Macaca mulatta: one gene and its partners. The protein of the gene in region 1 interacts with the protein of each later gene in a pairwise test. Links are inferred from orthologs where the notes say so. Each region holds a gene or a part of one and is shown on either strand. Other genes may lie near its edges.

Region 1 (5,879 bases):
ATGGAAAGGCTAGACAACTCCTGTATTTATTATTATTAAGACAGGGTCTTGCCCTGTTGCCCAGGCTGAGTTGCAGTGTTGTGATTACAGCTCACTGCAGCTTGGAATTCCTGGGCTCAAGCAATCCTCCCACCTCTGCCTGAGTAGGTGGGACTACAGGCTGGAGCCACTGCTCCTGGCACCAATTCTGTATATCTCAACTCTCATGATTCCCCAAAGAGAAAGAAAAACCATACTTTTATTCCAGCATCCGGTATGCCTTGTGTATACCTGTATACAAGTTTTAAAGTTGTTGGTTTCATCTCATTAAATAATAGTTAAGAGTCCTCTGAGGCAGCAGGAGGATGTGGAGAGTAGCACAGGTCAGGGTCAGGTGACCTGAGTTCTATGAAGGGTAGCAGCAATAGCAACTATTATTGGGTGCTTACATGTACCAGGCGCTATGCTAAGTGCTTTACATGTATGACTTCACTTCATGGGGCAAGGATACTCATCAGTAGTCTCATTTTACAAATGAGGAAACCGAGGCTCAAAGAGGATAAGTCACTTAGCCAAAATGTCCCAGCCAGGATTCTTTTGGGTGAGCTCCCCAAAATTTGTCTTCTAACTCCTACCCTATACTCCCTCCACTGGGAGCTGTGCGACTTTGAGCAAGAAGCTTCATCCCATTGGGCCTCGGTTTACCATTGGAAAGGACTTGTGAGCGAGGTTGAATGAGCGCAGCAGATGGCCTGTGGTTATTTAGAGCAGTGCTTCCCTGGTTGTTTGGTATCACAGCGATCATAGAAATACTTGTGTGGCCCGGTGAAATGGAGGCGGAAACTCAGTTTCTACCTTCACAGGGCCTGACTGGAGGGGGCTGAGGACGATGCGGAGGTTTCCTGTATTAAAACAGACTACCCCCCCTTCCCAACGCACAACCCCGAGCACGTGGCCGTGGGTTCCCAAGCGCCTCTCCTCCCAGGGCCATGGGCATGACCACCGAAAAGCGGGTTAGGCCGGGGAGTTCAGAACCCGGAGTGAATCGAAACTACCCCAGGTAGATGGCAGCGAAGAAAATTCTGTTCTTAGGGGAACGCAATCTTCGGACACCAGAAGTTCCCCTATGATGCTATTCTGTGGCAGCCTCGCACTTGAGCCGGATGAGAATTGTAAAAACCCAGGTTGGGAGACAGGACGGCGCGTCTTCCCGGCTCCTTTCCAGAGTTTAGACGGAGCCATGCAGACTCAGCTGGCCTTTGGGTGTAGGTGGGCAGGCCCGAGGCGCCCTCTCGAGACCCCTTCAACCTCCCGGGGGCAGCAACACCGTATCGGCTATGAATGGCGTCTCTGGAAAACTCAGGCTTGGAACAGGTAACCCCCCGGTTTCCGCAGGCCAGAAATCAGCCCCCGCAACCGAAGGACGCGCAGGCTGGGAGTGGCGGCGGGGCCGCCAGTGGCGGACCTCCACTGAGGGCGGCGGGACCCGACCGCAGGGGCTGGGCCCTGAGGCCACTATGGGGTGCGCTAGGCTAAGGTCTCCTGGGGGCAGGAGCCAGTGCGATTGTAGCTGGCCAGCAGGCTGGCCGGCCTGAGGCCTGGCAGAGACCCGAGACCCCGACCCTTACCACGCGGACTCCGTGATCCCTCTCCCAGCAGCCGCCCACCTGGGGCCCTGAGCCAATAAGAGCTCGAGGTATATATGACTCACCGTGCCTGGGCCAATCAACTTGACGCGCGCTCTTCGCCAGCACCTCGCGCGATAACCTGGCTTCCTCGGCCTTCACAATAAAAACTCTCCGCCGGAAAACGACCTCTCCCCGCCCACCGCGCCGACACCGGAAGCGAGGCGTGTCTGCGAGATCACTCCGCGCTCCGGCGGCGAAGGAAAGAACGGACTCTGATCATAGAAGTCTAGTAAAGTAGTGCACCTCTCTCGTTTCGTGAGGTCATAAGAACAAACACCTTTTCTCGTCACAGCTACGCGCTGGGCATAAACGGTTGGGGCGTCAAAGGGAGGGAAACGAGCGGGCGGGAGGAGATGGTCACGTGGCCGTGGCGGAAGGATGCGTCGGTGCTGCGTCCCCTTAGAGACGAAGTCTATAAAGGGCCGGCGGGCGGCTGCTGCGGCCATTTCTACTTCGTCCGCCCACAAATGTAGTTTGGTTTGCACGTGTGCGCCTTCCCTCCTCCCCGCCCGCAGGGTCCACGGCCACCATGGCGTATTAGGGGCAGCAGTGCCTGCGGCAGCATTGGCCTTTGCAGCGGCGGCAGCAGCACCAGGCTCTGCAGCGGCACCCCCCCCAGCGGCTTAAGCCATGGCGTGAGTACCAGGGCGGGTCGTCCAGCTGTGCTCCCTGGGCCGGCGCAGGATTTGGGTTGGTGGGGTGCGGCCTGGGGCCGGGGCGGTGCCGCCAAGGAGGAAGCGATTTTACGAGCGCCCGGGACGCGTGGTCTTTGCTTGGGTGTCCCCGAGACGCTCGCGTGCCCGGGATCGGGAAGGCGCATTCTGGTGCCAGGACTGCTTCCACAGGGGCCCTGCCGCCCTCGGACCCCGAGTCCCCCAAGGGTCCCAGGGGTCTCGGCTTTCCCCCCCGCGAAACGTGGCAAGAACCAAGATGGCGGCGGCAGGGCGGCGCCGCGGGCGTGAGTCAAGGGCGGGCGGTGGGCGGGGCGCGGCCGCCCTGGCCTTATTTGGACGCGGGGACGGAGCGCCTTCCTCTTGGTGGCCGGTGGAAGAATCGCCTGGTCTCCGTGAGCGTCCATTTTGTGGAACCTGAGCCGCAGCAGGGAGGGGCGGATGCAACTGCCCCGTTGCCGACTCTATAGATGGCTGGACTAGAGAAGTCCCGCCTCGTAAGTGGAAAGATGAAATTCTCAGACCAGCTAACCTCTAATGGGAGTTGGCTTCTGATTCCCATTCAGGCTTCTCACGGCATTCAGCAGCAGCGTTGCTGTAACCGACAAAGACATCTTCGAATTAAGCACATTCCTCGATTCCAGCAAAGCACCGCAACATGACCGAAATGAGCTTCCTGAGCAGCGAGGTGTTGGTGGGGGACTTGATGTCCCCCTTCGACCAGTCGGGTTTGGGGGCTGAAGAAAGCCTAGGTCTCTTAGATGACTACCTGGAGGTGGCCAAGCACTTCAAACCTCATGGGTTCTCCAGCGACAAGGCTAAGGCGGGCTCCTCCGAATGGCTGGCTGTGGATGGGTTGGTCAGTCCCTCCAACAACGGCAAGGGTGAGTGGGCCACCACCACATCGTCTGGGTGGGATCTAGGGTTAGGGGCCTGTTATCTTTGTATCTGACTCACTTGGCCCTGTCATTCAAATCTTTTGCAGAGGATGCCTTCTCCGGGACAGATTGGATGTTGGAGAAAATGGATTTGAAGGAGTTCGACTTTGATGCCCTGTTGGGTATAGATGACCTGGAAACCATGCCAGATGACCTTTTGACCACGTTGGATGACACGTGTGATCTCTTTGCCCCCCTAGTCCAGGAGACTAACAAGGAGCCCCCACAGACGGTGAACCCAATTGGCCATCTCCCAGAAAGTTTAACAAAACCCGACCAGGTTGCCCCCTTCACCTTCTTGCAACCTCTTCCCCTTTCCCCAGGGGTCCTGTCCTCCACTCCAGATCATTCCTTTAGTTTAGAGCTGGGCAGTGAAGTGGATATCACTGAAGGAGATAGGAAGCCAGATGCCACTGCTTATGTTGCCATGATCCCTCCGTGCATAAAGGAGGAAGACACCCCCTCAGATAATGATAGTGGCATCTGTATGAGCCCGGAGTCCTATCTGGGCTCTCCTCAGCATAGCCCGTCTACCAGGGGCTCTCCAAATAGGAGCCTCCCATCTCCAGGTGTTCTCTGTGGCTCTGCCCGCCCCAAACCTTACGACCCTCCTGGAGAGAAGATGGTAGAAGCAAAAGTAAAGGGTGAGAAACTGGATAAGAAGCTGAAAAAAATGGAGCAAAACAAGACAGCAGCCACTAGGTACCGCCAGAAGAAGAGGGCGGAGCAGGAGGCCCTCACTGGCGAGTGCAAAGAGCTGGAAAAGAAGAATGAGGCTTTAAAAGAGAGGGCGGATTCCCTGGCCAAGGAGATCCAGTACCTGAAAGATTTGATAGAAGAGGTCCGCAAGGCAAGGGGGAAGAAAAGGGTCCCCTAGTTGAGGGTAGTCAGGAGCGTCAGTGTGCTTGTACATAGAGTCTCTGCTGTTGCTGTGTGTTGGAATAAATTATTTTGTAGGGAAAGTACTTGTGTGAATTCCTTTTCTGGCAAATTAGCCGAGTGAGGCGCCAACCACGCATCCCAAACTGGTTATAACATTCCTTGTGAGATCTGGGGAGGAGGGCAGTCCAGGACTGAAGATGGGTACCCAGAGTGGGAACTGCTCGCCCTGCTAGGTGTAAGCCACGATGTCTGATGACTCATGGGGCCATACAGCCGGATAGTTGGCCAACTGTAGCAAGTTGGGTCCTTTACCCAGAGGTGAGTTCGCTGGTTGTGTAGGGAGGAGGCTGGAGCTCTCTGAGAGGTTGGGAGGGAGGGACAGCCTGGGCCTCTTACCTATTTATTCAAGAGGGCTTCATGCCAACAGCTGTCGCCTGAAACCCTGGATAAGCTTGCACAGTCCTTGAGATAAGCACACAAGATTAGTTTTCACTTGTTACCCTGAGTTCTGTAGAAACGTGTTCCTGAAGAAAGAAATGGCTCCTTTTCGGAATTGATGCTGAAGCAGGACAGGAGCTGAGGGTTGGCCTCCGTTTCTCCTTATGGGGTGGAAGGATGACATCCTGCACAGGTTCTGGCTAGAGCTGGGCACAAAGGCTACAGTTCCTGTGAAGGCTGTTGTGCCTGTTGCTACCTAAATAGAAGGCCTGGCATCATGCTAGGATGGATCAGCGCCTAGAAACCACGCCTCCTCACCGCAGCTTCTTCCTGGCAAGCTGGCGGGGAGACCTCGCCTTTCCAGGCAGGCGATGTCTTTTGTGTTGCGGATGAGTGCTTGATTTTGTGTTGCGGATGAGTGCTTGAATGCAAGGATCAGCGTATCCTGGGTAGGTCTGTCTTTCCTCTTGTGTCCTTCAGGATCACAGTTTTCCTTCTGTGGAAGGTGGTGTAGACTGGGTGTGCCCGGGGAATGGCTGGGAGGACAGTGAGGGTGAGTGCGCCCAGGCACTGCTGTAACTGAGCACAGTACGTGTGTTCACCCCGTCCCCGAAGCACACCCAGGAGGCAGACGCCACACTCAGGAGGATTTTTTTTTTTTTTTTTTTTTTTTTTTTTTTTGAGACAGGGTCTCTCCCTGTTGACCAGGCTGGAATGCAATGGTGCAATCTCGGCTCACCACAACCTCCACCTCCTGGATTCAAACGATTCTCATGCCTCAGCCTCCCGAGTAGCTGGGATTACAGGTGCTCGCCACCATGCCCAGCTAATTTTTGTATTTTTAGTAGAGACGGGGTTTCACCATGTTGGCCAGGCTAGTCTCGAACTCCTGACTTCCTGATCCACCCACCTTGGCCTCCCCAAAGTGCTAGGATTACAAGCATGAGCCACCGCGCCTGGCCTTTTTTTTTTTTTTTTTTTTTTTTTTCTTTTTAGAGATTGAGCCTATTCCCCAGGCTGGAGTGCAGTGGTGCAATCTTGGCTCACTGCAACCCCTGCCTCCCAGTTTCAAGCGATTCTCCTGCCTCAGCCTCCCGAGTAGCTGGCATTACAGACGACTGCCACCATGCCCAGCTAATTTTTGTATTTTTAGTGGGGATGGGGTTTGTCATGTTGGCCAGGCTGGTCTCGAACTCCTGACCTCAGGTGATCCGCCCGTCTCGGCCTCTTAAAGTGCTGGGATTACAGGTGTGAGCCACCACGCCCAGCTCACCCAGGAGGAT
Region 2 (6,227 bases), on another chromosome or scaffold:
AAGATAAAAATCATTGATTCCACAGCATTTAATATATTGGTAACTATCCTTCAATTTTTTTCTGGGCACATGTTTTTATAAAATGAGCCAATACTATACAAACGTTTTTGTAACTTTTTAAAATTTGTACTATTTTGTGAGTACGTGAAAAAGAAATTTGTAAAGATTAAAAGATCATAGCATGTTGTGGTATTACACACTGTTGAAGGGCGCCATCTGTGGCGTGGTGGCTGTGCTTTAGTGGGAAGAAGTTCTCTTGCGGTTCCCGTTTTTCTCCCAGCTCTGGGTAGGCAATACTGACCACTCTCCGACCTAAAGGGACTTCTCCGTTTGCCCTTGACGGAGACACGTGGGAGTTCAGAGGAGAGCGTTCAGGGTGACTGCGAACACGAGCTCCCGGCGCTGTCCACATCTCCCCTGGGCAGGGCCCACTGCCCCCAGCCCGGGAGGGGAGCAAGGGCGGGAGGGCAGTTGGCAGTGGCACGGCCTGGGTCCAAACCTTTAGCCCCCCACCCCGGCTGGCGCCACTCTCGGGCGGTAAAGTGAGATAAAAGCAGGGCAAGGTTCTGTAACTCCAAATCAGGGAGGCGCAGCTCCTACACCAACGCCTTTCCGGGGCTCCGGGTGTGTTTGTTCCAACTGTTTAAACTGTTTCAAAGCGTCCGAACTCCAGCGACCTTCGCAAATAACTCTTTATCTCGCGGGCTAGAGCGCTGCCCTTATTTGCGGGGGAGGGCAACTGAACGCCGGCACCGGGGCGCTAACTGTGGCCTCCTCTCGATCCCCCGCCTGCTGGGACCCCAGCTGGCAGTCCCTTCCCGCCCCCGGACCGCGAGCTTCTTGCGTCAGCCCAGGCGCGGGTGGGGGATTTTCGGAAGCTCAGCCCGCGCGGCCGGCGGGGGAAGGAAGGGCCCAGGCTCTTGCCCCGCCCTTCTGGGGCGGGAGGCGGAGCGGGGCAGGGGCCCGCCGGCGTGTCGCCGATCAGCGAGTGCCGGGGAGCCCGGAGGAGCCACCGACGCCGCTGCCGCCACCAGAGCCGCCCTGTCCGCGCCGCGCCTTGGCAGCCGGAACGGGGCCGCCGTCGGGGAGCCCCAACACACGGTCCCCAGCTCAGCATGATGGAGTTGGAGCTGCCGCCGCCGGGACTCCCGTCCCAGCAGGTGCTGCCTCGGCCCTCTGGGCCCTGCGGTGGTGCCGGGACGGGGGCGGGGGAGCTAGGGAACCGCGGCCCGGGAGGGATAGCCGCAGCCGGCTTCCTCCACGTCCGGCCAGAGCCAGGACCGCAGCGCTGGCTGGAGCCGCCGCGCTTGCGCTGGGGCAGGGTGGGGAGGGGCAGCGGGGACGCGGCCGGGTGGTCCGACCGACCACGAGCCCGAGGGCGAACGGGTGGGAAGTTGCGGGAAGGTCTGGGGACTGAGCCCGCGGGCGTGGGCAGTGGTGGGCGAATCCAGCCGCGTCCCCGGTCCCCAGAGCTGGGCTTCGGAGCCCCTAAGTTTGAGCGGCCCGGCGGGCGGCGGGGCAAGAGGGGCGGACGCTGGCCGTCTGAGCCGGCGCGGCCCGGCCCTTCCGGGGCTGCGCGGCTCCCCCGCCTCAGAGCCGGCAAAAATGTGCCTAGTCACGGGGCCACTCTCGGGGGAACTGAGGTCGCCTTCGTGCTGGGACCCAGAGCCCCTTCGCCGCGCCCCAAGACCTCCGTGTGTGCGGGCTGCGGCGCGCTCACACCGCTGGGCCGTCTGTGGGCGCTGCTTTGCGAAGTCATCCATCTGTCGGATCACTCTCTGGCAGCCTTGAGCTTTCTTGAAAGCTCAACCCCGGGACGAGGGAGGAGCGCCTGAAGTGCCCAGCGGGCCCAGAAGCCCCGACGTGTGGCGGCTGAGCCGGGCCCCGCGCACTTTCTCGGCCGGGGAGGGGTTCGGGCCCGGGCACCCGGAGTTGGCCTCTCGCAACGCCGCGGGAAAGTGCGGGCGAGGGCAGCGGACTCTGAGGCCGGAGTCGGCGGCACCCGGGGCGTCTAGTTCGGACGCGGTGCCCCCTGGTGGCGCGCACCGCGCGCGTGGCTTTGGCCTCTGTGACAGCGGTCTGTTGGCCGTCACAGCAGCCCTCGGTTGGCCCTTTCCTGCTTTATAGCGTGCAAACCTCGCCGCGCCAGGGCCAAGGGACAAGTTGGAGCTGTTGATCTGTTGCGCAATTGTTATTTTCCCCAGAGCGGCTTTGTCTTTGGATTTAGCGTTTCAGAATTGCAATTCCAAAATGTGTAAGACAGGAGATTCTCTTCTGTGCTGTCAAGGGTAAGAGTTGCGAGTGTAGATTAGAATTTCTATTGCTTTTAGTTTGTTAATAATTTTTTGCTTTCAGCTGTTATTTCTTCCCTGAGTACTTTATATATTTTTCCTTTTCAGTTGAGAATTTGCCTCAGTTTCTTAACATGTCCACCCTCTTTTGCAGGGGCAGAGAGTGGAACGCTTGCGTTTCAAAACACATGCTAATTTCTGTAAATTGTTATAAAAGTGAAAAGAAGTTTCAGCTCATCCTTGTAGAAACTTTAAAAGTAGATATTTATATTTCTAATTTCTTTTGTAAATGAATTTTAGGAAAAAAATTGGAATTCAAGGAAACGTGTACTTGATGTACGGTAAATTCGTTTATGCTGTTAAATGTAAAGTCTTAGGTTAATTCCAAAGATCTATTGTAAAGTTTTAAGTTATAGACAATGTATTAATTGTGCCTTTTTTTCCCCCTTTAAAGTTGTCTTGAACTTTTCCCCAATCTTGATTGGGATTATATTCTTCTGGTTCCAACTAGGGAAGAAGTAAATTGTACTTTACGATTTATTTAATAGCTGCTGTTCAAGAGTTATCTATAGGAATGCTTGTTTGACCGAAGGATATATGATAAAAATGAACTTTGGTTTTTCTAATTTCCCGAATTGTCTACAACCCTCTATTAAATTTTTCTTTCTTTGCTGTGTAATATAACATTCCATATACAAAAATGCATAAAACATATGTACTGCATTAAGTGTGTATTTTTCAATTACGTTTGATAAAAATAACTGCTTTTCTGCCTTTGTAATCAGATATCGATTTGCATATTTGAAAACAGAAAAAGAACAAGAAAATTTAGAATTGATTTCGTTTATGATTCATATTAGATTGTTGTCATCCATAAAGATTTGAACTGAGTCAAACATTTTCTTGATCTTTTGTCAAAAAAACTCTCCAGGTGTGAAGTGGTAGTAGGATGTAGTTTTTCACCTTCTGTGCAGAGGATGTGTTGATAAACAGGGCAGTAAGGAGAGCCTTAGATTCAGTATCCCCATTAGGTGGAAGGAACATCCATTACTCTTTTCAAGGGTGTCTTGGAGAGATAAAGTACTTTCCTGGATGAGGGATGAAGCTGATATTGAAATAGACCGATGAGATTATGTTTAAGTCAAACAAAAGAAAAATAGGACAGGCCTCTCATCTCCTGAATGAATGTTAAGCAAAGACCAACTTGACTTTTTAGATATGTGAAAAATCTCTTGAGAGGTTGTGGAAGCAGCATGTAGGAGGATAAATGCATAACTCACATCAGTCTTTTCCGCATTAAAAATAACTTGGGCCATTTTGAAATCTTTCTTTCTTGCCCTGGGTTGTTATAAGCAACGTTGGGGGAAAACCGACTCTGTCTTTAGGATTACCAGGAAAAGTTGAAAGCCAAATGCATCATTTTTCTTAAGATTTGTTTCTATTGAGGATAAATCATGTTTAACAAAGCTGCGTGAAAAAAAGGAACACAACAAGTACATTTTTTTTTCTGGGAATTTCCTCTGTCCTGACTGAAGACATTAAAAGGGGGTTTTGTGTCAGTATTTCCTCCTTAACTGTTCCTTGAACGTGGGTTATCTTTTCAGTATGCAGGAAGAATTTGGCACTAAGATAATAATAGATAAGTTACTGGGCACTTCCCTGGGTCCAAACATAATTGCTTCACATGCATAATTTTACAGTAACCTCACGGGAAATACTATTATCCCTGGTTTCCAGGTTGGGAAAACCAGAGATAATAGTTAGATCAGGCATTAGGTTAGGAAAGAGGCACAGAGAAAGGCCAAGACCTGCTAAGGTGACCAAACTATTGAGTGGCCAAGGTAGCATTCAAACAGGTTTGACTCCTGGGGGCTCCTAATCACCACTTCCAGACTACCAAAACTCCTTAAACTTTAAATAGGAAGAAAAACTCACACTTCAAAAGGTGAGTAAGTTGAGATTTGCCTATTCTGGGGGAAGGAGAGGCTAGAATGTAAAAGATTGATGTTTGCAGCTTTTCCATTTAGCAAGACACTTAATCACTGTATGACTGGGGGAGGTGGACCTTGTTAAATGCTGGGAGAGTGAATACAACCCATCAATGGGATTACCCACTGTGGTCCTTTTCAGGAAGACACAGAAGCCTCGGTGGGTTCAATTTAGAGAGGCAGGACTGTTTTTTTGTTTTGTTTTGTTTTGTTTTGTTTTTGAGATGGAATCTTGTTCTGTTGCCCAGGCTGGAATGCAGTGGCCTAATCTTGGCTCACTGCAACCTCCACTTCCCGGGTTCAAGTGATTCTACTGCTTCAGCCTCCAGAGTAGCTGGGATTATAGGCACTCACCTCCCGGATAATTTTTTGTATTTTTCGTAGAGATGGGGTTTCACCATGTTGGCCAGGCTGGGCTGGTCTCGAACTCCTGACCTCAGGTGATCCACCCGCCGCGGCCTCCCAAAGTGTTGGGATTACAGGTGTGAACCACTGCGCCAGCCTGTTTCTTAATATAATAAGTTTTTTAAATTCCTGGGGTCTTGGCAATGTCTAAGATTCTGCCTCACAGTTTTCAGGAACTGTTTCCCTTTGTTCTTAATTAAATCTCTTTGCTACTGGAGTCTTTGCCTTTGTTCGCCTTGCTAGTTGGTACATTTCTTCTGTTCCATTGGCGCTTTTTGTTTTGAAGTAGTGCTCAAAAATAAGTTTGGTAGTAAGAATATGGTGAAGACTGTGACGGACAGGGTTAAACCAGGTTGAAGGAAAGAGCAGAATGGGGAAAATTTGAGTTGAAAACAGCTAGCAGAAACCTGATGGCGCAAATTCAACCCTAATCTCATGTTTTGGCACTTTTGAACTATAGCAAGCATAAGGGCTCAAGTCTTATCTAGTTGAAGCTAACTTGGGTCTTTGAGAATAGTACATCTCAAAATTAAACACTTTCTTAGTCCTTATTGTTAAACAAGTTGTTTTTGGAATTATTGTCTTATTTGTCTGAATTAAGTGTGCTGCAGGACTTATAGGATCTGATGGATGATTTGCCTAAAAGTTAGTCCAGGTCAGCCTTAGGGCATTTAAGTGCTTGGTCCAGCCACTTTCTGAAAGTTGACTGAAATATGTTGCACACCAGGGTAGAGGAGGACAAGTTTACTAGATGTCATTTTTAACCTGCTTGTCTTCATCTCTGACTGTAGAAATGTTTATTCATTGTAAGTTTGCCATAAATAGAGAACAGAGTTTATTTTTTTGATCATTTAATTTCTAGGAGCTATTGAAATTTCACTGCTACCTGCTTTTAAATAAGCACCAACAAACATTTATTAAAAGGGCTTTAAGGTATAGGCCAAGATTTATTCAATTGCTAATGGTATGTTTTCTGTAAATGAAAGCAAAAATATGTTCAAGTATATAATATTAAATATTAACATTCAGAAACTGTTGGAGAAATATATATGGCTTTCTTATACCAGACTATACCCCAGACATGAAAACAAGACTGTTGAACAACATCCTGTGCTACTTAAAGTTTGAGCCTTCTATGTGTCAGCTTCTGCCATAATAACTTTGAACTATGACTATTAAGTATATTAAGAACTTTGAGTAGGGGAGGCACTTTTAATCATTTGTTTTTATGGCATATGTACTGTAATACCTGTGTGTTGCAAATCCTGGTGTTTAAAAGTCTTTTTGTGTATTTGAGCATGTAAGTTTATTTGGCCCAAACTGTTGGTACTAGTAAAGACAAGTTCAGGGCATTAAGTAGGACTTGGACTTACAGCACCAAGTTCGTCTTTCTTTTTTTTTTTTTTGAGACAGAGTCTCACTCGGTCACCTAGGCTAGAGTGCATTGGTACAATCTCGGCTCACTGCAAGCTCTGCCTCCCGAGTTCAAGCGATTTTCCTGCCTCAGCCTCCCGAGTAGCTGGGATTACAAGTGTGCGCCGCC
Region 3 (6,073 bases), on another chromosome or scaffold:
GGCAGAGCCTTGACTGGATGCGGGTGGGGAGTGTCGTATGTAAAGTCTCTGGCCTCATAAAAGATGGCTGTGGGTCATCAGGAATCTGTGCCATCTTCCTGAGGCTTCTGTGCTGTTGTTGGGGAAGGGACCCCAGTCCTGCCTTCCACCCCCCAACCAGGCCTGAGACCGATCAAACAATAAACGCGTTTCCCACCCTGAGCACTCGAGGTTTGTTTTTAGAGACGGCATCTCAGACCCTCTTTGGTGGCTGCCTTGCAGCAGGGAGACCTCAGCTTGCCTGGCTGGGGAATGGGAAGGTTGGCCTGCCTTGGGGTTATCCCCTCCTCAGCTCCTGAACACCTGGGTCATCTGGGAAGAATGTTTTTAAGCTGAAACAATTTTAAAACCACAACCTCCTATCACAAACACATTTTATATGGTAATAGAGTACACAGATATGCAAAATATATGTGAACCAAGTTTCCTTCCCTTTTTTTTTTTTTTTTTTTTAGATGGAGTTTCGCTCTTGTCACCCAGGCTAGAGTGTAATGGCAAGATCTTGGCTCACTGCAGCCTTTACATCCTGGGTTCAAGCGATTCTCCTGCTTCAGCCCCCCAAGTAATTAGGGTTACAAGCATGTGCCACCATGCCCGGCTAATTTTGTACCTTTAGTAGAGATGGGTTTCACTACGTTGGCCAGGCTGGTCTCGAACTCCTGACCTCAGGTGATCCACACACCTCAGCCTCCCTCAGGACCCTGGGCCTGGAAACAAAAGTTTCTTTACCATAGTTAGCTTTAGTATGTGTAGATTTTTTTTCATTAGCTATTATTATTTGAGATGGAGTCTCGCAGTGTCGCCCAGGCTGGAGCAGTGGTGCAATCTCCACTCACTGCAACCTCCACCTCCCTGGTTCAAGCGATTCTCCTGCCTCAGCCTCCTGAGTAGCTGGGATTACAGGCACGCACCACCACGCCCAGCTACATATTTTTTTAAACTGCTGATTTCATCCTATTCTATTGAATTCTCCACCCATGAACCTATAGTTTGGAAAAGACTAATCTAGGGCAGGTGGCTCCCCCTGGAATTTCTGGACCAGGCTGCAGTTTATTTGTAAAGTGAAGTGGGGAGGGGAGGATCATGGGTACAGCTTTGCAGGCGGTGCAGACGTTTAGATTCTCCCTCCATCGGGTTAAGACCTTGCTCTCCTAAGGGCTGGCCAGAGTCCAGAGCATGGATGCTTCTGGTGAACAGGAGAGGCAGGTGGAGCTGAGCCTGAAGCTAAATAAACATCTGCTTATTAATTCATTTTTCTTGCCTGTCTGTGCCAGGCACTGTGCTAGGCCTCATTTGCTCTTCCGACCTCTTTTTTTTGGGAGGAAGAACAAATCTTCCGTTCGTACTCCCCAGAGTGGGAAAGGAAAGAGCCTCCCAGAGGTTGCGATCATACCCCACCATCTGACCTCAAATAATACCAGCAACGCTCCTCTCTCAAGCCCTGACTATGGCCAGGTGCTGGGCTGAGCTGTGTGTCCCATCACTGTGTCCTCACAAGAAATGTAGAGGGGCCTGTAATTTCCCCATTTTACAGGTGAGTTAACAGGCTGGGGAGGAGCAGGAACAGTCAGGACTGGAATCTAGCTCTGTTCCAAAGCCAGCTCTTAATTACCAACATGGGGGGGTGGTGGCGTGTTCCTGCCCCTCGTTTTTCTGGAGAGGGGTAACTCCCCCCATTTTGGCCCCCACATCCCTGAGAACCTTGGGGTCTGGCTGTAGGAGGTGGGGGAGCTCTGGGGGGTCTGCGCTGGCTAGTTCCTGAGATCGTTAAAAGTAGATTCTCCTTTCGCTCCAACTTTCCCGGTGTCTCACACACTCCTGCCTTCTCCTGGGCCCACTGGGCCCACCGCCACCCAACCCGGGAACCCCCGGAGGCTCGCCAGCTCTCCAGAATGGGAATTTCTTGACGTTCCCTGCCTGAGCTTCGGGGAGGGCGGGGGAGTGCCGTAAGGGGCTATCGCGCAAGTGTAGACCCTCTGCTTCTGCCGCAAACGGCGGGCCTCACCTGGACCAGGGGACTCTCCAACGAGGGGCGCTAGTCTGGCCCGACTGGGCGAATCCCCGCGTCCGTACCCGTTCCGTCGCTCAGTTCCACGACTCGCTCCCCTGCCGCCCCGCCTGTTCGCGGGTGGGTGGGCGCTTCCCTCGGCTTCCCGTGACACTTTGCAGACGCTCCCCGGCGCCGGGCATGGGCGCCGCCGCCGTCGGTCCCCGAGTCGGATTCCGCGCGCGGGTGGGTGAGCGCGGGGGGCCTCGGCCCCTCGGACCCCGGGCACCCGCGGGCGGGGGATGGTGACCGTATTTGCACCCCCGCCCTGATGCATTCCCCCGCTGGGATCTTTCCACGACTGCTCCCCCTCCCACCCCCGGGACAAAGGGCGGGGGCGGCGCATCCCCACGCGTGACCTTTCCCCGTACTGCGCACGCGCCCAGCCCCCACCACCGGGGGAGGGTCCGCACGCCCACGCGAGTGCGGGGGAGGGGTGTGGGGCCCCGGAGGTAGGGGAGGCAGCGCGCACGGGCTGGACCTCCTCCTACCCTGGGAAGTTGGGGCAGTTTCCCTCTGCACCTGCCTCTTCCTTAGGCCTGGCGGTGGCCCGCGATGAGAGTCCTTCCCCTTCAGGCCAGGTGTCCCTGTCAGGCGACCCCTTGGGGCACCCAGCAATTTAGGGCTTCAGCTTCCTTTTCCTTCGATACCCAGGAGCCCACGTCCCCAGCTCACTTCTCCCCTAGGACCTCGGTGGCTGGGCCCCCTGTCCCTGACTCTGGGAACCCAGGAGTTTGAAGCCCAGGCGTGTTTTGCCTCAGTCCTGGGGTCTGGGCTCCCTCCTCCCTCAGACCAGGGATCCAGGCCAGAAGGTCCTTCCTGTCTCACTTCACCTCCCCCAGGATGGACCCTCGAGTCCATCCGCGTCCCTCCATTTGTGGCTGCTGTTTCTGTCCAGTGCCCCTGAGGCCCTCGGCTGCTGGGGTCCGCAGGAAGCCACGCCATGAATGACCGGAGCAGCCGGAGGCGAACAAGTGAGGAAGCTGGGTCCCCTTCCCTACCCTGGGTCCCGGTGCGGTCGGTCGGCTCCAGGCTGCCGTGGTTGGGGGGTGGTCTGAGGGGCCCGGGACTTCTCTGGGGTGACCCGGGGCCTCTCCTCTCCAGTGAAGGACGATGAGACCTTCGAGATCTCCATCCCCTTCGACGAGGCGCCCCACCTAGACTCACAGATCTTTTACAGTCTGAGCCCCTCTCGGGGAAACTTCGAGGGTGAGCCGAGGGGGCGTGGAGGGACTGGAGTCAGCTGGGAAGCCAGGCCGAGTCCCAGGGTGTGACCTGGTCCCCCCACCCTCGCTGTGTCCCTAGAGCCTCCGGAGGCTGCGTCCCCCGCCCTGGCTTTGATGAACAGCGTCAAGGCCCAGCTGCACATGGCTCTGGAGAGGAACTCCTGGCTGCAGAAGCGCATCGAGGACCTGGAGGAAGAGAGGGACTTCCTGCGGTGCCAGCTGGACAAATTCATCTCTTCTGCTCGGATGGAGGCAGGTATGTGTGGGGTGCTCTGATCCACCTGCCTCCCTGTCCCGCTACTGGGTACCCGCTCACCCAGACTCGAGGCTCCACAGTTTGCCTGGCTGGGTGGGACCTGCCATGTTGGCCCTCTCTGCTAGTCCCCTGCCTGTTTTGGGCCCCCAGGCCCAGCTTCCTCTTCACTTGATGTCCAGGACCTCATCCCCATGAACTGTCTACTGGGGCCTGTCCTCCTGCTTTTTCCTTCAGCTCCCCAAATCCCATCAGCCTCCAGTGCCCTGCCATCTGCTTCCTTGGCCTATGGTGACTTCAGGACCCTGGAACCTGAGAGTCCCTCTCTTCTGACTCCTAGGGGGACCTTCCTTCATCTCTTTGGCCGAGAGGCCCACCCTAGTCCTTTGGGTTTCCTCAGGGGGCCCCTGATCCTCTTCCTGGCCCTGTCTTCTCCAAGATCCAAGAGTCCAGCCATCCAGCCTCCTCCTGTCCCCCCCCGTCCCCGTGTGACACCAGGGGCCATCTTCCCACCCACCCTGTCCCATCCTTGGTTAATGAGTTCTCCTTCCTCATGAAAGACATTAAGGCTCTTCCTGTGTGGGCCTTTTTGGGTGGGGACCCCAGCAGGTGCTGTTCCTCAAACCCTGCCCCAGGTTCCTGGGCAGTCCCCGCCCACATACCTTGCTCTGCTATAATTCATGGCCAGAAGCAGCCGGGAGAGCTCCCATAGCAGCCCCCAGCCCCAGCCAGTTCACAGCTAGCATCTTCTCTTGACTGGTGGGACCCTGTGTCCTGCTTAACACATTTTGGACCCCAGCCGCATCCTCTTCCCCAGATGGTCAGGCCCTTTGCCAGACAGCCCATGTCCTGGAGAACCCACACTTTACCCCACCTACCCTCAGCTCGGCCTTGCTAGCTCCTTGGCTGAGAAGACCCCTCAAAAACTCCCACATCTCTCTTTGTGAATTCAACCTTTTCCCTCAAAAACTTGGGCAAGGGGCCTATGGTCTCGTGGTGTCTGTTACTGGGAACCCAGCATCTGGGGATCTGGCCTTCCCTCTGCTCTGGAACAAACCGCCTCTGACTGCCCTTGCCTGCCACTGTCTCCTCCCACTGATGGCTCCATGCTGGGTGACTGACTCCTTTGCACAGATGGTTTGGTCCTGCGGCCTCGGCACTTTCCCAGTGGGGACCCTGGCACCAGACCCCTCTCCTAAGCCGCCTTCTAGAGGACCCTGTGTCTGGGCCTCCGCCAGCCAGCTCCCTCTGTCTAGATGGAGGTGGAACTCATCCTGCTGGACCCAGGACCCCTGATTTCTCTCAGGGTCTGACCCCCCGACTCCAGCCAAGGCCTGGCCTGCCTCCTGGGTTTACAGAGGCCACTCTCCGGAGGTCCCACCCAGTCCCCAGAAATCTCTCCCTCCCCTGTGGGAACCGCATATACTCACAGGGGTCCTGAGGTCCCTGGTCGGCTGCCTCCCCAAGACCTCTTGCCAACCCAAGCCTCTGAGAAAATGCTGCACCCATTACTACCTCCCACAGACCCCAGCAGGCTCTACTCAGCCACCAGCATCTCTACTGTCCTCCCTGTCCGTTTCTTTAGGGGACCAGCCCAGGTTGGGGGATCCAGTACTGGGGACTGCAGCCTCTCTCAGTCCCAGGACCTGTGATGGGATGTCTGGTCCCATAGTTCACGTGTGTGTCTCTCTCCCCAGAGGACCACTGCCGGATGAAGCCTGGGCCCAGGCGGATGGAGGGGGACAGCCGGGGTGGGGCTGGGGGCGAGGCCTCGGACCCTGAGTCAGCAGCCTCCTCCCTCAGTGGAGCCTCCGAAGAAGGCAGCGCCAGCGAGAGGAGGCGGCAGAAGCAGAGGGGAGGTGCTAGTCGGAGGCGCTTTGGGAAGCCCAAGGCCCGGGAGAGGCAGCGAGGTGGGTGAGGTGCATGGCGCGGGCGCTGAGGGGCCTGGGCTGCTGAATTGCTGTGTGTCCTTCCCAGAGGCCCTCCTTTCTCTCCAAGCCCCTCCAGCTTTGCTGGAGAAAGACCCACCGGGTTCTGTCTCTCCCTCCTCCCTTGTAATCCTGGGATTACAAGGCGTGAGCCATAGCACCTGGCCTGTCCTGGGTCTACTTTAAGTTTTGGTGAACCCTCGAGGGCAGGGCCACCTTGGGCACCTCCTTAACCTTCATCGGTAAGAAGGAGGTGCGCAGTAGGACCTACCTCGGGGCGGGTGAGGCTTGAATAAGTGAATTCACCTGAGGCAGGGAGGTGAGGGTGATGGCTGGGCGTGGTGGAGAGGCGGGCGGGGGGGGGGGGTGTTGTTGCTGGGACCGCGTTGGTTGAACCCGGCCTCTCGGCTCATGTTCTCTCCTCACCCCCCTTCCTGGGCCTGCCTCTTCCCATTTCCCACTGGTCCAAGTACTGGCTGCGCTTCTTCCCCTCCTCTCCGCCCCTCCCTTCCCTGTTCTCCGTATCCTCCTGCACCGCCCGTGCCTCTGCTCGCCGGGATCCTTCCTTCCCATGGCCGTT

The links.
Region 2: the proteins of ATF4 (region 1) and NFE2L2 interact in binary tests that used the Homo sapiens proteins (3 or more experiments, as listed by UniProt). The link is inferred for Macaca mulatta from reciprocal best matches to the Homo sapiens genes ATF4 and NFE2L2.
Region 3: the proteins of ATF4 (region 1) and CCDC106 interact in binary tests that used the Homo sapiens proteins (3 or more experiments, as listed by UniProt). The link is inferred for Macaca mulatta from reciprocal best matches to the Homo sapiens genes ATF4 and CCDC106.

The regions. Positions count from the first base shown.
Region 1 is NC_133415.1:12,020,214-12,026,092, reverse strand, and holds ATF4 (cyclic AMP-dependent transcription factor ATF-4), read left to right. Parts: upstream 1-2,322; 5' UTR 2,323-2,996; coding exon 2,997-3,222; intron 3,223-3,323; coding exon 3,324-4,153; 3' UTR 4,154-4,236; downstream 4,237-5,879. UniProt on the Homo sapiens protein: Transcription factor that binds the cAMP response element (CRE) (consensus: 5'-GTGACGT[AC][AG]-3') and displays two biological functions, as regulator of metabolic and redox processes under normal cellular conditions, and as master transcription factor during integrated stress response (ISR).
Region 2 is NC_133417.1:82,176,139-82,182,365, reverse strand, and holds the start of NFE2L2 (nuclear factor erythroid 2-related factor 2), read left to right. Parts: upstream 1-2,153; 5' UTR 2,154-2,288; intron 2,289-3,900; exon of another isoform or gene 3,901-4,236; intron 4,237-6,227.
Region 3 is NC_133424.1:67,996,597-68,002,669, forward strand, and holds the start of CCDC106 (coiled-coil domain-containing protein 106), read left to right. Parts: upstream 1-2,019; 5' UTR 2,020-2,272; exon of another isoform or gene 2,273-2,928; 5' UTR 2,929-3,029; coding exon 3,030-3,060; intron 3,061-3,190; coding exon 3,191-3,295; intron 3,296-3,391; coding exon 3,392-3,568; intron 3,569-5,262; coding exon 5,263-5,475; intron 5,476-6,073. UniProt on the Homo sapiens protein: Promotes the degradation of p53/TP53 protein and inhibits its transactivity.